Linked DNA regions of Oryza sativa Japonica Group. The protein of the gene in region 1 binds, or shares a complex with, the protein of each later gene. Links are inferred from orthologs where the notes say so. Each region holds a gene or a part of one and is shown in the gene's direction. Other genes may lie near its edges.

Evidence for each region. Proteins that work in one complex are often made in the same cells at the same time.
Region 2: transcription initiation factor TFIID subunit 11 (region 1) and transcription initiation factor TFIID subunit 13 share a complex: the UniProt entries of both Arabidopsis thaliana proteins name them as parts of the TFIID complex. The link is inferred for Oryza sativa Japonica Group from reciprocal best matches to the Arabidopsis thaliana genes TAF11 and TAF13.
Region 3: transcription initiation factor TFIID subunit 11 (region 1) and transcription initiation factor TFIID subunit 10 share a complex: the UniProt entries of both Arabidopsis thaliana proteins name them as parts of the TFIID complex. The link is inferred for Oryza sativa Japonica Group from reciprocal best matches to the Arabidopsis thaliana genes TAF11 and TAFII15.

Annotation. Positions count from the first base shown.
Region 1 is NC_089035.1:28,594,782-28,600,425, forward strand, and holds transcription initiation factor TFIID subunit 11, read left to right. Parts: upstream 1-2,305; 5' UTR 2,306-2,346; coding exon 2,347-2,666; intron 2,667-3,294; coding exon 3,295-3,382; intron 3,383-4,327; coding exon 4,328-4,427; intron 4,428-4,668; coding exon 4,669-4,796; 3' UTR 4,797-5,134; downstream 5,135-5,644. UniProt on the Arabidopsis thaliana protein: TAFs are components of the transcription factor IID (TFIID) complex that is essential for mediating regulation of RNA polymerase transcription.
Region 2 is NC_089035.1:13,332,882-13,338,514, forward strand, and holds the start of transcription initiation factor TFIID subunit 13, read left to right. Parts: upstream 1-2,073; 5' UTR 2,074-2,116; intron 2,117-2,203; 5' UTR 2,204-2,377; coding exon 2,378-2,582; intron 2,583-2,667; coding exon 2,668-2,705; intron 2,706-2,957; coding exon 2,958-3,017; intron 3,018-4,912; coding exon 4,913-4,987; intron 4,988-5,073; coding exon 5,074-5,187; 3' UTR 5,188-5,633. UniProt on the Arabidopsis thaliana protein: TAFs are components of the transcription factor IID (TFIID) complex that is essential for mediating regulation of RNA polymerase transcription. May be involved in polycomb repressive complex 2 (PRC2) mediated repression.
Region 3 is NC_089043.1:20,160,041-20,165,664, reverse strand, and holds transcription initiation factor TFIID subunit 10, read left to right. Parts: upstream 1-2,064; 5' UTR 2,065-2,215; coding exon 2,216-2,395; intron 2,396-2,491; coding exon 2,492-2,556; intron 2,557-2,897; coding exon 2,898-2,960; intron 2,961-3,543; coding exon 3,544-3,601; intron 3,602-3,688; coding exon 3,689-3,739; intron 3,740-5,171; coding exon 5,172-5,252; 3' UTR 5,253-5,496; downstream 5,497-5,624. UniProt on the Arabidopsis thaliana protein: TAFs are components of the transcription factor IID (TFIID) complex that is essential for mediating regulation of RNA polymerase transcription.

The DNA of each region.
Region 1 (5,644 bases):
GTATTATGGGACGGATGAGTATAGAATTATCATTCTCTCAATCAGAAGAGGGGCGTATCGCCATGCGTCACACAGCTCCAGCAGCGAGACAGTGGCGAGCTCCACCTTGTGAGATCCCAACCACGCACGGACGCACCCGGCCGGCCGTCCCGGCGGCAGCAGAGATCGCCGGAGCTCGACACGTACGCCCCTGAACAGGGGACAACCGGACAAGGCTACACTTTTGCAGCTCCAGCCAGGACTTGCATTGCAGGTAGTATAGCAGGAGATCAGGCCTGGCTGGCTACGATCCCGTCGCAGATACGACCTCCATTTAGTACAAGCGTACGATGATATTTTATACGCTACCAGTTGGAGGCAGGACTCTCTCTCTCTCTCTCTCTCTCTCTCTCTCTCTCTCTCTCTATATATATATATATATATATATATATATATATATATATATATATATATATATATATATATATATATATATATATATATATATATATATATATATATATTAAATTTGTTTGGTGCTCCATGGTGTCCGGGCACCATTGTTGAAATTGAGTATATACCCAATTCAAATGAGTATGAAACTTTTTCAATTACTTAGGTATTAACATTAACTACTTTACTAACTAGTTTAAAGCAAGTTTGAACTGAATTTGAACTTGTTTTTGTTATATTTTGATTCTAGGTATATAGCATCCATACATATAATTAGTTAGGTATGTAATCATGGATTATGAAATAAAGTTAAATTTGAGTTGTTTTGTTGATAAGTATAGGTATGAATCAAATTATTATAACTAGGTATATACTCACAATTTAAAAATTTTGAAAATTTTGAGTGATTTTGTGCATTAGATACCATGGTGCCCGGGCACCATGGTGCCCCATATATATATATATATATATATATATATATATATATATATATATATATACACACACACAGCTTTGGGAGTCTTCGAGAGATATACACGAGCTGGGCATCTCTTTTTGTTTGTCGCACCCCCCCCCCCTCCCCCCCTGTTGCTGAAAGCGATCAGCGCAACCGAAGCGAGGAATAATAATCGGCAATGATAGCGGGAGTTTGGTCAGACGAGCCTCAGACGAACAGCCGGTCGAATATTCACTCTCATCACCAGCAAAGCGGAAAAAAAAACACGACGATATATGTGGCTCTCGTCGTTTTATATTCACATGTATGATGTATCATACGGAGTATGATAGTATATATGTGTGTGCATATAGTATGTTGTTTTTTATATTCGTGGAGCAAAGTGATCGGCGCCAGAAAGCACCTTTGTGCCGTCAATTTTATTCAGGGGAGAGAGAGCTGCAAGAACTAGCGAAGAATATTGTTGTGTGATCTGGGTAAGTAATCTAATGGCGAGGCTTTGCTTGGGCAAAGAGGAGGTCAATGGTGAGCGAGCGAGAATCCTATGCGTTAGGATTAGCGGCAATAAACAAAACGGCCTCCACTAAACAAGGCGCGATACGGAGGTAATGCAAAAGCTGTGAGAGGGGGGCAAAGCAAATCCTATCCTCCTCCTGAATGCCCAAATCCCAGCGTGATCGATCGGGGTTGTTGTTTTTGTAGCTGCTTAAGCTTTTTATTGCACACGTTTGATGCATCGTTCTCAGGATGGGTCTCTCGGTGGGTCAGTGCCCACGGCTTGGGAGTTTTCTGGTCCCGAAAACCTGTTGCACGATGTGATACGTCTCGAACGAAAAGATGAAACTTTTTTGTTGCTGTTCTGATGATGGTAGTAGTAGTAATCCTGTTTTTTTTTGTTCCTTTTTTCTTTACTTTGCGCCCGGCCATTGTAAGGTCCGCATCGGAGGTAGGCCACATCACGGTTTCAACTGTGTATAAGCGTGTAACATCTGCCGTTGCTGAAAGAATGCTCCTCTGATGTTGTTCTCTGACGTAAAAAAGGAATCTAGGATTATATGTGATATATTCTAGTATAGTGTGTTCAAATTTATGGTATTAGGATGTGTTATATCTAGTACTAAGTTGGTCTTTTATAAGACGGAGGGAGTACGTCGTTAATATGTAGGTTCACGAACTGCAAAATTCATATGTCAGTTAGAGAATTTGTTTCCGCCGCTGCTGCACGCGCCGTGAGGCGTGAGCTGCTCAGCGGTGGCGCGTTCGGCACGAGCGATTTGATTCACCGGTGAAAATTCTCGCGGCCGCCACGGAGAAATCGGCCCAGAAATCCGGCCCGAGAAAAAGGCCCACGCGCGAAGCAGCCCACCAAGCCCGGCGGCGGCGAGCAGGTAGGTCAACCCCGGCCCAAAAATTTTCAGAAGACTCTGGACTCTTGCGATTCGTCTCCAGCCGCGGCCATGAAGGACCCGTTCGAGGCGGCGGTGGAGGAGCAGGAGTCGCCGCCGGAGTCGCCGGCGGCGAACGAGGAGGACGCGGCCGGGGCGCCCGAGGGATACGACGGCGCCAGCGGGTCGCGCGGGCCTCCGCTGCGGCTGCCTCCTTCGAGGGCCGCGCCATCGGGCTCCGGTGGTGCCGCCGCGGCCGCGGCGAGGGGTAAGGTGGTGCGGGTCCAGAAGGAGCAGCAGGAGGAGGAGGATGACGAGGAGGACCACATGGAGGTCGACCTCGACAAGCTGCCCTCCGGCACCAGCGACCCCGACAAGCTCGCCAAGATGAAGTAGGTGCTTGGCTGCGCTCATCCTAAACCTAGTTTTGCCTTCTTCTGGTGCGTGCTATATATGAAGGGTTAACTGCATAAGGATCAACTAAATTCAGGAACCATATGACCGTCTGTTGAGTATATACGTTCTTTGATCGAGTTCAGTGTTTTAGCGTCCTTCACCCTTTTAACTTTGGTTAATTTGTGACAGTAAGATTTGTACTAGTGGAAATTTCTGAATTGGAGTAAGGATTGTTCGTGATTGTAGTTACAGAACAACCTGACATTATTCACTTCATAAAGACTGTAGTCCCAGTTTCCAGCTATATGTGAAGCGTTTACTGGCATAAAGATCAGTTAAAGTTAGGAACCATATGACTGTCTATTGAGAATATGTTCTTGATCAAGTTCAGTGTATTTTGGTGTCCTTCACCGTTCAACTTTGGTTAATTTGTGACAGTAAGATTTGTACTAGTGGAGATTTCTGAATTGGAAAAGGGGATTGTTCTCAATTGTTTGTGATTTTATTTACAGAACATCCTGACATTATGCACTTCTCAGATTTATGTTCCAATATATATAGTGAAATATTAAACCCATCTAAATAAGAATTCTATGTTTGAAAAACTATGTACTCCTTTTCCAGTGCCATACTGTCTCAATTTACAGAAGACCAGATGAACCGGTATGAGTCATTCCGCAGATCTGGATTCCAGAAATCTAACATGAAAAAGGTATGATCTCATTCCCAACATCCATTGATTTAATATCGTACAAGTATAAACTGCAATATCATGTGCGTGTGATGCGTGTGGCGCCTCCATCTGAATTGGCTTCAGTGTTCCCCTTTGCAATAAAAGCTTTCCACAAAATGTGGATCACATTAACATTTTCTGCTTTCTTAAGTCTTACAGTTACCTTATTTTCTGTTGAATAACACCTGTTCTATTTTGGTTCATGTTTCTTTTGTGGATGCATACCATGAGTTGTACAATGTACCATGCATGTCTTGTCCAAATTGTTGATAGAGCTTCATGTACAGGACAGTTGATTTCGCTCCAAGTTGTAGATAAATACATTTTTGCCTATGTCATCGTTTCTACTGATTGTAAGTGATGTACACTCTCTAAATAAAAAACCAAACTTGGTCAATATTCTTTTCTTCAATTTATAGGCAGGCTAAGAAAGCCTTTTTGTAGTGTCAATCCAAAGTTTGACCTTTTTCTCGGTAAAAATGTTACTTTTGGCTGTTGAATGCCTGAAGTTAACAATGCTTTGAAATTACGTTCTAGTCAGAGGGACAAGTGCTTTAATGTATTTCCTCATCAGTGGTTGAAATATGAGATCACTGCGTTATTGGAATGTTTTTCGGAGTTGCTAGAAATATGGCGCCATATGCTACAGTCGATTTTTTTTAACCACTTACACAGTAGTTACACCTCATTTACACCCCATTTACATATGTAATTAGTATGTAATTTCGAATTTACATATGTAATTTTATTACTTACATATGTAATTTTGAGACTTACATTGTAAATACACTAAAATTACATATGTAATTTAGGGACTTACAATGTAAATACATGCCGACTATTTTTTGATGAAAAATATGACGCCATAAATATAGCTACACCCATGTTTTTTTAAAGTTGATTTGATATTCTGTTTCCATGCAGCTATTGGCGAGCATTACTGGCAGTCAAAAGATTTCTCTACCAACAACAATTGTAGTATCAGGAATTGCAAAGATGTTTGTTGGTGAGCTTGTTGAAACAGGCAAGTCTAGAGTAATTATCTTATTTACTTTGTTGCTCATAGAACACTACCACCAAAGCACCTATGATTTTGATGTATGCTCATCTCTTAAAGCAAATCACTCTTATGACTGATCTTTTGTAATCGTCCGTGTTCAAATGTCCTTTTCTGCTTTCCATAAACTTGTTCTCTGACATCAGAAGAAAAAGGAGGGATGGCTTTATTCACTTTATTTTTGACAATTCGATTGTGTCTGTTGCAGCTAGAATAGTTATGACTGAGAGGAAAGATTCTGGACCAGTAAGGCCTTGCCACATCAGAGAAGCCTACAGAAGATTGAAACTTGAAGGGAAGATCCCACGGCGGACTGTTCCCAGGCTCTTCCGTTAGAATTGAAGCATCTCTGTTGATCCCAGTCGACACTGAGATGGTCCTTTCTGCGGTCAGATGCGCGGAAAGAGAGAATGACATGAGATGTATTTCTTCAGCTTTGTGAAATTGTTACTGTGATTTCTGTCGCAGCAAGGGAACCAGAGCAAACAGTACGTACAAGCTGAAGTACTACGGTACTACTAGCCGTGGAAAATTCTATGTATAAAGTATTGGCCGTAGGCTGTGAATTTTCAGGCTTATGAATAGTTGAACTGTGTACTATGCTGTTTGGAGTATGCGCTGAATCTGATTATATGCTTGTCTGCAATTAAATGCGACCCTCGTTTTAACCCAAACGATGTGTCTTTCTGCTATTTTTATACGTAGAACTCTTGCCGTTGTAACTAATCGATTTTTTAAACGAAGTGTCTTTCTGCTATTTCAAGATCGGATGCTATGCAGGATCTTATGTCCTGCAGGCTGCAGCTTCGGCGGGAGCATTTACGCCGGCATTGTGTTCCTTGAGCATTGTGTGTATTGGTATTGTCGATGATTCTGAAATTAGGCAATTGTTTATGGGGATCTCATCCTTTCTTATTTTTCTTCGTTTCATTTTTGGAAGTGGCTGGCTGCATCTAGTTACTTGACATCACTGGTACATCTTGATCATGTCTTCTTTCTATTGATGTTTTGGTGTTTTTTAATTATTTTGAGAACATGTTTTGGTTCAGGCCTAGGTGTTCACACTAAACTTCTCCCAAACTCCTAACTTTCCATCACATCCCATCCAAAACTTTTCTACTTACATAAAATCCTAACTTTTTTTCCCAAACTACCAACTTTCTCTAAACTTCTCTCTAATTTCA
Region 2 (5,633 bases), about 15 Mb from region 1:
AATATATTTTCATACCTAAACCTAGAATTGGATGAGAACTATCCTAGTTAACTAGTATATTCCTTCTATTTCATAATATAATAATTTAGAATCAAATGAGACCTATTCTAGTACTACGAGGTTCGTAGTAGTATGATACATGCAATCCGATTCTAGCATACCATATTGTGGGATGGAGGGAGTATATATGAATGCAAACCATGTAATTTAAAACAAATGGTTACTCATGCTACTCATGGTAATAACTTACTTCAGTAAAATGTATTTGGTCCTCAGTTTTCCCAACGCTAAATAAATTCGACCATGAAGAGTACTTAAATATACTGCTTGGTGCTAAAGCTGTCCACAATAGCATAATATCAGTTCCCTGTAAAATTAGTGGTATATTGTCACCGTGAATATACTCAATAATAATTAAACAAAAGCTACTAAAATTTCTTTTTGGAGGGAACAAAAGCTACTACCTCCCTCCCAAAATACAGAGAGTTTTAGGTTTGGACACAGATATTAAGAAGGTATGTAGAATTAAACGAAAGAAAGTTGTGATTGGTTGACAAGAGAAAGTTGGTGGAGAATTTGAATGGTGGAAGATTGTGATTGGTTGAGAAGAGATTGTAGGTGAAGAAGTTGTTATATTCTGGGATAAATTTTGAATGTTAGAAGTTGTTATATTTTGAGACGGATGGAGTACTAAACTCGGTGGCATAAAGTCAATTCCTTAGTACCAAAGATAACAAAAAAAAAAACAAAGTGGGAGGTAGGCAACAAGTTTTAGGAATTAAAAAAAAAGGGCATTGAGGAACATTCTAAAAATGAAGTTGCCATTGAAAAAAGATGAATTCATATCTCCACCCGTTTCTCATTAGGTCCATATCTTCCAAGAATATTACTTTGGAGTATTGAAAGAGTTAAGATATCAAGTTGCAAGTTGTCATGTCATTTAAGACCAGAGGTTTGCCACTCTTTCTCCTTGTGCACATTACCACCACAACCACTAATCTAGTTGTAGGTCCCATTGCAAATCCTTGTTCATTCATCGTCATCGGTCCTTAAGCACATCGCCATGATCTAATTTTAATGGCACTTAGATTTAGCCATCTCTTTAGCGGCGGTGGCAAGTGCTCCAACATTGACTTCTAACTTTCTATTGGAAACGTTTAGCTATTTGGTTATCATTATTGTCGAGTTGTTGACGCTCTACTCTCTATTATCAGATCTAGCCATAGGTACAATAATTTGCCTGTTCCTCGTCCTTTCCCTATATGAACCATTTTCTTCACATTTCTAAGTACTAACTCATTATCCTTTTTTAAGTGCTCTAATATTTTTGAAAGTGTTATTTCTCCTTTATCTTTAAGTGGCTCATGTCTTCTTTATCTATGCTCTCCTGTATCTCAAGTCTAATGTTGCAATCACTGACTGAAAATCACCCAGTTCTCGTAAAAATGCCGTGGGGACTGGTTTACGAAAACTAAGTGGTTTTACTCCCTCAAATATAGCAACCTTGTACCTCTGTCCAGATTCATTGTACTAAGATATGTCTCATCTAGTACAGGTTGTTATATTTTGGAACGGAGTGAGTAGCAATTTTCGTATGAAATTGATTAAAAATTGCTATTCTTATTGTTTTTTTTACCAAACCGATACAAACCGGTCTTCACTCGAAAACGGTAATGCAAAACTGGACAATATGGTGTGTTGCAAAATTTCTCAAATGGCCCGTTTGGTTGGAGAGAGTTTTCAGGAGGGATTGGGAGTTTAGAGGGATGAGGCTATTAAGTGTTTTGTTTGGTTGGGAGACATAAGAATTTTGGTGGGATGTAGATCCCTCCTTTTCAATACGGCAGGTAATTGGGAGGGAATTCCTCCTTTACTTTGTCTAAGCAAATCTCAGCCATCCATTTTTATTAATGACCTAATCTCTAACTAAACTCCTTATCAATTTTTATCATCTCTACCAAACAAGATATTAGGATTAAAAATTAAATTCTCATCTTAATCTCATCCGCAATTCCCTCGTGTAAACTCCAAATCATACCATACAAGCCGCAAGGACCGGAAAATTCTCGAATCGCCGCCGGTACGCTCACCAGCTGCTTCCTTCCCTTCGCCGCCGGTACGCTTCCGCCGCGATTGCCTCTCCCCCTTCCCGGCCTTACGCTCCGCCGCTAGTGTGAGGCTGACTCCACTCGTTTCCTTCCAGTTCGCCCCTCAGAAATCCATCACGGCTGTGCATAGTGCACGCGAAAGCCCTAAATCCAAGCGGCGGCGAGGAGCGAAGGGAAGGGGAGGGGAGCGCCGCCGGCCGTCGGGAAGAGGGGGCGGGCGGCGTCCGTCTCCCTCCCTCACCCCTCGCGTCCTTCGCTCTTCCGCCGGGATGCAGAACCCTGGCGGCCACCACGCTAGCCCGGCCTCGGCGGCCAAGTCCAAGTCCTCGACCGCTGCCGCCGCGTCGGCGTCGGGCCAGGGGAGCTCCCACCACCACCACCACCACCACTCCGGCGGCGGCGGCGGCGGCGGCGGCGGCGCCGACGCGTCCGCCACCACCCTCAAGCGCAAGCGCGGCGTCTTCCAGAAAGACCGTACGGCACTGTTTTTTCTAAACTTTAGTACTGCTGCTGTTCTTCGAATTCGTTGTTTATGCTGCATTTTTCCCCGTTCTTGCAGTGCAGCACATGATGTACGGATTTGGGGATGATCCAAATGTAAGCCCGACCTCGATCTATGCCTTTCATCTCTTAATTTTCAGGCTAGGAATTGTTTGGGGATAGGATGCAATTTGTGTACTTTGTGTTGTGGAACATTGGAGGTAATTAACACCGACAACGACAATAATTGCAAGTAGGCCATGGATTTACAACACAACTACATGATTGCCTAAGAAAGAATGGACATGCTGTTCTACCTTTTAAGTTAAAATCTTGTATGTAAATGACATCTTTCTGTTGGTTTTGCAGCCGCTTCCAGAAACTGTTGCACTTGTGGAGGACATTGTTGTAGAATATGTCACTGACCTGGTAAGCTTTCATTGTATTTGTCTTTCTTGTTTTCTACTGAAATTACATTTATGAAGGTTGTATGGATGAAAGGAGTTTATTTGGATTTCGACATCCTTATTTGTTGCCTTATTTAATTCAATTCTAGTGTTCTGGAAAGAGTGATTAGGTAGTTTTCTGGAAAGAGTGATTAGGTTCAGTGCTTCTGTTTGTCGGGAAACATGAAGCCTTTTATGTTTTGAGAATTAATAGGGGCTTCACTTTAACCTATAGTTCATATTTGTGTAGAGCCCAAGGGCTTGAAGTTTGAACACTGGTTTCGGGAAAAAAGAACTACTCCCTCTGGAAAATAAGTTGCCAGGTCTCTACTGGACAAAAGTTCGATTCCAAAATTTTGAATCAAAAAACCAGTTACCAGCTAGTTACCGGCAGTAAACCAGTTTTGTGATAAAAATATTGGATTCGAACTTTTTGCATGCTAATATGTAATAATTCAGATCCGGCATATGAAAGTAAACTAGTGTACCTGTACATGAAATTTCAAGAAAATATAAAGTTATACTTTATTCTTATGGTCTCAAATCTGAACTTTAATTTAAGTGTGAACTGTACTTTGGACTAGATTTTATTTCCTAAGTTGCACATTGGATTAGGTATTATCAAAGGTTTTCACTTTGAACCAGCTTATGGTATCAAATTTTGCACTTTGGACCATTAGTCCCACACGTCAGCCTCCATATAGTCATCTTCCTCGTCAGTCCTCTCGTCTCCTCTCCTTGTGCGCCATCATGTGCTCTCGTTGCGGCAGCTCATTTGTGCAGGCCGCTATGGTGGAGCATCTTGCCAAGCCTTTCTCAGCTAGTCCACCACAAATAAAAGCCTTAATTAACTTTTTCCATCCTCAGTTCCCTTCTCAATCATAAACCACCAGATAAGTTGAAGAGCTTCATACAGTGACAAACCTTCCAGACCTCTCCATGCTAATCACCTGACCATCCCCTGCTCTTGCACCCACTGGCCGGAACACCGTCTCAGCGCTATGGTGGAGCATCTTGAGCTCAAATCAGGGGCTAACACTAGTGGAGCTCGAGGCTGAGCAAAAGCTGGAGCTGGTGGATTACTGTGCATAGGCAGAGTGTAGCGATTGTGATGGCATTGGTAGAACTGCGGGTGGAGAAAGAGTTCTACAGACAGTTATATAAGCCCAAATTGCAACATAGAGGCAAACATACATAATCCAAAGTAAAAACATTGGCTAGAGCATATGGTTCAAATAGAAAGTTGGGTAAATATTCCTAGCCCAAGGTGCAATTCACTCCAATTTAAATTGTTCTGGCTGGTACACTCCATACCTGTTCAGCAACGGTTATAGTTATCACCAGGATTTGCATCTCTTGTGGAGCCCTTTTTGTTAATGATTCATAGAGCTTTGCCATCTTTTGGCAGTTCTTCCCTGCTTAAATTATCTGTAAACTATATTAAGAAAGGCATTTTCTTTAAAGTCTCTATATAGTCTACTTTCCTGCATGATATGGAACCTTGAGTTTGTAATCGTGCATAGTGTAAATGAAATGTACCTGTGACATGGGGTGAAGATATCTAAACATGCCCCACTTGTCTGAATATATTTTTGTAGATAATTTGTCCATGCGTGATCTGAATACGCGACGATATGAATTTATTAGGTCTGTTTACCCTGCAGACTTACTTTGCCCCAGGTTGTTGGACAAAATTTTTACATGACTACAATCTAGTATGCACTCTGTAACAGCAGAAATACACACCAAACACAAGAATTTAGTTAACTGTAATTTTTTATTTGATTTTAAATACCTGCATGTGGATAAAACCATATGTGTATGTAATGTTTATTTATGATTCCGTAACTGTTGACTGTATAATGTGCACTTTCTTAGGTCCACAAGGCCCAGAACGTTGCATCAAAGAGGGGCAAGCTCTTGACAGAAGATTTTCTTTACCTCATTCGCAAGGTACATTTCTGAACTCCACATGTGAAGTTGCTTGCAATACAGTTGATTAGGTCATATTAAAATTTATCTCTGTACTTTCTTTCTAGGATGTGCGGAAACTGCACCGTGCCACTGAGCTACTCTCCATGAATGAAGAGCTCAAGCAGGCAAGAAAAGCTTTTGATGTGAATGAAGAGACATTGGCAACAAATAACGAGTGATTTCTCTTGGAGAAACCCCGGCAAAAACTATGTGTAGTACGGAAACTAGTCGTACGATGATCATTTCTCCTGCAGAAGATGTGCATCCATTACATTATGTACTACATTTTTAGGAGAGTAATGAAACATTGTGCAAACTGTCATCCTATTTAGGAGTATTAAACCTAGGTTACTGACAAAATCCATTCCATAACTCTTGGGCTAATTTGCAAGACGAATCTAACGAGATATATTAATCCATACTTAGCGGATTATTACTGTAGCAAAACATGGATTAATTAGGCTTATTAGATTTGTCTCGTAAATTAGCCCAGGAGTTATGGAATGAATTTTATCAGTAATCTACGTTTAATATTCTTAAATAGTAAGATTCTGGAGGGCTAATTATTAGCCATCTGGATCCAAACAAGGCTTTGGTTTGGTATTGTTATGGGATAAGATAATCA
Region 3 (5,624 bases), on another chromosome or scaffold:
GTCATTGTCGCTCCATTTGATCAGGATTGTTGACACACTTGCTAAAGTTTGTCTGCAACTTGTTGCCTCCTCGAACAAGTTTAGTATTTTCTTTGCCACTTGGAAGTCTTGGTTGGTCGCGGAGAAAGAGCACCACATTGTTTTCCGAAAGGGATATGCGGTGCGGGATTGGGATCGGCTGCAGTAAGCCCTCCTCTTTTGCCTTGGCAAACAAGGTGCTTAAGGTATCCATCACAAGGACAAACATTAGAGGTGAGATCATATCGTCTTAACGTATTCCCTGACCGTGCTAGATCATCCGCCCTAGTCACCATTGAGGAGTAAGAGTTGGTATGCAATATGCATTATCCCGTGAATCTTAGTTCAGTGATGGTATGCTACATTGCATGAGTAAAATGACGCTTTCTACTAGACATCAGTGAATGTAACTTAGTAGCTGATGGCAAACATAAATAGTGGTGTTTCTTTGACTTAAGTGAAATTGTAAAGAAAATCTTGCTACTTGACAATAAATCATATAATTGACCTTTTCTTGATAGCATATAACGGTTATGTTTCCTTGTTGCAACTTCTCTTTGTATTATATTATTTGGATGATTTTCAAATGGGATAAGTCCATTTGACAACTCCGAACTCTTCGCTTTGTCTAAAATAAACCCCCAAACTCTAAAACTGAGTATTTGACACCCTCTAACTTTTCAAACCGTCTAATTTTAGCCCCTTAGTGGAAACCAACGCAAATTTTCTTATGTGGTGCCTACATGGAAACTTAGCTATAAAAGAACATAAAAAGGTGGGACCCGTAGGCCACCTCCCCTCTTTCCTCTTACTCTTCTTCTTCCTCTTTCCTCTCCTTCTCCTCTTCGAGATGAATGACGAGGGTAGAAGGCCGTTGATGAGTTCCCGAGCTTAACAAGTAGAGTAGCGAGGCAACCTCCCTGAGCTCAATGAGGCGAGTGCCGACGACTTCCCTGAGCTTGTGTAGCAGGCCCAGCGGCATCGGCTCCTTCATTGAGCTTATCGTGGGATCGAGGTTGTGCTGCTGGCACTTGTCTTCTCTGACCTCGGCAAGTGGGTGTTGGGGGGGGGAGAGCTCTGGGTCTACGATGACAGCAACACTTGGATAGGACGAGTGGCAGCGGATCTCAGAGCTTATGATGACATCGAAGCTTGGGTAGGAGGGGCCGATTACTGCCCATCAACCCTCCTTGGAACTTGCTGGTGATCCCGTCTTCTCCGTGCTCAGCAGTTCCTCTTCTCCAAGCTCGCCGCCAACCCCCCTCTTCTCTGACCTCAGCCAAGGGGCAAGCTCCACATCGAGCTTGCTGCCAACCTTCCTTTTCTTCCGAGCACGACCAAGGGGGTGGGCTCGGCACGAAGCTCTCCGCCGACCCCTTTCTTCTCTATGCTCGCATCTAGCTCGCAGCTCCGTCCATCTCGTCATGGCTGCCTCAAGCTCATAGAGGGAGGGAGTCGAAAGAGAGGGGAAGGTGAAAGAAGACTGTAGGACCTGCTGACGTGGTGTAAACCGCTCAGGGGGTATAAAGTGAATGGTATTAAAAGTTAGAGGGTGTGAAATATCCGGCTTTAGAGTATTGGGTGTATCTCTACTATTATAAAAACTGAAGATGTTTTTGCTAGAATTTTGGTTTGTCATCCATATTTGAGTCGGTTTTTAAGTTCGTTCACTTTTGAAAATACAGAACCGTGTTTGAGTTAGATTTTAAGCTTATTTCCTATTGGAAGTAAGTCGTATAAGAAATCTTTTAAAAAAACTCACATGCTAACTTCAAATTAAATACGGTCTCCTAATTGCAGCTCATGATTTTCTGAAAAAATATCCAATCAAATTTTCACAGTGAATTTTACCGTAGCTAAACCGTATAACAACAATAAAATTAAAATAGCATTTACCCGTTCCAATGCATAGACTTTTTTTTTCTAGTTTTAGACAAAAACGAAGACTTCATAGGTGTAAAATAGACTTATCCCTTTTTTTTCCAAACGGGCCTGAACTCCGCCCATCCTACGCTTATTACCAAAAGGGCCGGAGTACAGCCCACCACTCCCCTCCCTCTTCCCCCCTCCTTCTCGAGCCTCCGGCGACGACGACGACTCCCGCCGCTCTTCCTGGTCCATCGGCGGCGAACTTCCCCGCCGACGTGCCAGATCTCAAACCCCACTAGCTCCTCCGGCGAAGGCGGGGGACCAGAGGATGATGGGGAGCAACAGCGCAGGCGGAGGCGGCGGTGGCGCCATGGTTCCGGGGGGCATGGGGGGAGGAGGGCCCATGGGGGCAGCCGCCGCCGGCGGCGGCGGCGGCGGAGACGGGCGGCACGACGACGAGGCGGTCCTCACCGAGTTCCTCTCCTCCCTCATGGACTACACCCCTACGGTACGGCGCCTGCCGCCCATCTTGCCCTAGCTTCCCCCTCTCTTGGGTTTCGTGTCTGATGCGGTGGTGGTGGTGGTGGTGGTGGTGGTGCGGCAGATTCCCGACGAGCTGGTGGAGCACTACCTTGGCCGCAGCGGCTTCTACTGCCCCGACCTCCGCCTGTAAGCACCCCCATCTATCTCTCCAATAGTTCAATCTCTTCTCTCTTTCAGGAAGACTGCACCGTGCCTTCCAGGATGGGCCAATTGGTAGTTATTAAACTGAAATTCGTCCAGTGCCCGGAAATCACTGAAGAGATTTGGACTGAATTTTGCCTGATTCTTAGTACGTACAACATGGTGACAGTTAGATCTGATTGAGGCTGTTAGGATTGCATTGTAATGCAGCGTGTTGCCATTCTAGTCGAGGGAGAAAATCGCTGTATCCCTTTCAGCTTGGTGATTGTTGGTCGTCATGTGTGACAGCATGGCCTTATGAACCATAATTTTTGTGTTCTCTGCAGAACGAGGCTGGTTGCTGTAGCCACCCAAAAGTTCATTTCGGACATTGCAAGCGACTCTCTTCAGTATGTAACTTTTACTGCCTCATTCGTTTTGTTTTCCAACTTAAACGTATGTGCGATTATTTTGTTCCTTTTTAGTGGTTATCGATTCTTGGAGTCGAATTTTCGTTACCTTCAGATAGTGAATGAGAAATATGATTTCTGATGATGGTCATGAACCATGAGGTTTCTTGCATCATTCATAAATGGAGGTGTATGCAATATGCTTCATTCTTGAGATGTTGAGTAGCCTCATTTCTCCTATGCTGGCAGCTTTTTGAGATAACCATGTTGATTTTAGGCTTGTTTTCTTCATACTGTCAACTTGCATCTTCTTTGTGCTTCCTTTTTTTTGTTTCTATCATCCTTCTCACATTATGACCATGGAATGAAACATCAAACATGGTATCTTATGTCTATATTGTTAAGACAATAGATTGCGAAATATGCATAACATTGATGTGGTAGGGAATCTAATTTCAGTACTGACTGAAACTTTATGTGTAAAGTCAAGCTTCTTATGGTGTTGCTTGTATCATAACTTGTGACAGTTAAAAGGTATCATGCACACTAATTTGTTCATCACATGATTATTGTCCTGAACTAGGCACTGCAAAGCCAGGGTAGCAGCACCTATCAAAGATAACAAGAGCAAGCAACCTAAGGTGGGTTTAATTGCAGTTGGTGTACCATGGTACTACTAGCATGAAATCAGTACTTTTATTTACTGGTTCAGTCATTCTGTTCTTCAGGATAGGCGTCTTGTGTTAACAATGGATGATCTTTCCAAGGCCTTGCAAGAGGTAAACCATTTTCCTGTTGAATTTAAGCTTTCCCTTTTACTGCAGCTCACCAGTTACCACTGTACTTTACGTGATTGAAGTCACAGTTTATTCAGTTTGACGTATAATTGCAATTATTAGTTTTATTAGGACTTGAATCTCTGCATTAATAAATCTACTGTAGAATGGATTTAGTTAACCTTTTTTAGACCAATGGGATTACTTGTTAATGTTTTTTTTAATGAAACAAGTAGCCAAATTGATCAGTTGTATATGCTTCACGATGCTCACGATTAATCACAATTCAGATAGACTAATCAACTCAACAATCAGTCACAGCCTACTTGTATTGGAATATTTTACCAGAAGAACAAATGGGAAACTATTTTGATCCCTTGAGGGGATGTGCCGCTTAAAAATCATCTAAACGGTTATGAAAAATTCTAGAAAAATTTGACAACACTTATACAACATATCTATACAACTTCACAAAATCTTAAGTCCAAATTCAACTCACACATCGAGATATAAAAAAAGACAAATTCAGCGTATAAATAGTACCGCACTGTTAATATCTGAATTTGTCTTTTTGGGTTCTCGATGTGTAGGTCGAATTTGAACTTTATTTTTGGTGGACTATTAGATATAATTGTACTCTACATTGTCAATATTTTTCAGAATTTTTAACAACTATATTTGCATTGATTTTGAAAGAAAAATATATACGAGGGGACATCCCCTCGAGGGATTAGAATCCACTCCCCAGAACACATACATTATAGTACATGAAATAAGCATTTAAGCAGACCTGGGATGAGCTGCTCATATACAGGGATGAGCTGCTCATATACAGGTCTATTTGACAAATGATCTTCTATGCTTTCCCTTCCCAGCAATATTCTTGGCAAATGACTGATTCAGCTATAATCACATCATGGTCAGTACACTTATGTTTACAATTCCATGGTTCAGAATCAATCTACCTTCTACACACGAAACCTCACACAAAAGGGCATCCTTGACATGTCACAATATCACATAACTCTGGACTGTAATGCTCTACAGATGAGCTATCATTATAGAAGCTTTGTGCTTTCATGAAATATGTTTGTTCCACATACTACCAATTTGAGATTTATTTTTGTTTTCTAACATGCTGGCAGCTATCAGTAGATCATCACGTCATTTGATAGAATTAGATTACCATTGTCCAGCGTTTAGTATTGTAACTCCTAATTATCCTAATTAGGCATTTATGTTTGATGCATTTTGAGAAACTGGCACTTTTTACTCCCGTGTCAAATGCCAATATAGATCACAAATGTGTACATCAAATCCTCTATGGTGGTGCAGTAAGCTGGTAACCACTGACTATAGGCTAGTAGGCTCCTTTTTACCAAACATGTATACCAATGCTTAATTTCTGATGTGCACCATACTTATTTCCTTGCAGCACGGTGTGAACTTGAAACATCCTGAGTACTTCGCAGACAGCCCTTCTGCAGGAATGGCTCCTGCAGCAAGAGAAGAGTAGACTCAACTGAACTCAAAGTGAAACCAGGGACTATGTAGGGAGCATGCAAATGAATGACCATGTCGGCATCCTTACCCAACCTTATTACAGCATGCAAATGAATGAACCTGTCAGCATCCTTACCGACCTTATTACAACCTGATGTCTGTTCCTTGATATACTATTGACCATTAGCTTGTAACTAATAGTCTAATACCACTGGTTGCTTCTGTACTTAGTATGAAGTACTATCTGTGCTGATTGATTCCTCTGTGTGAAACCTGTTTTAAATTGCCTGGTGGATCCTTGACAGCTGAAAACTAATTGACTTTGCAACATGCTATAGCTTTTCACTACTTTGTTTCTTGATGTTGCGTTGGCAAACATCATTTC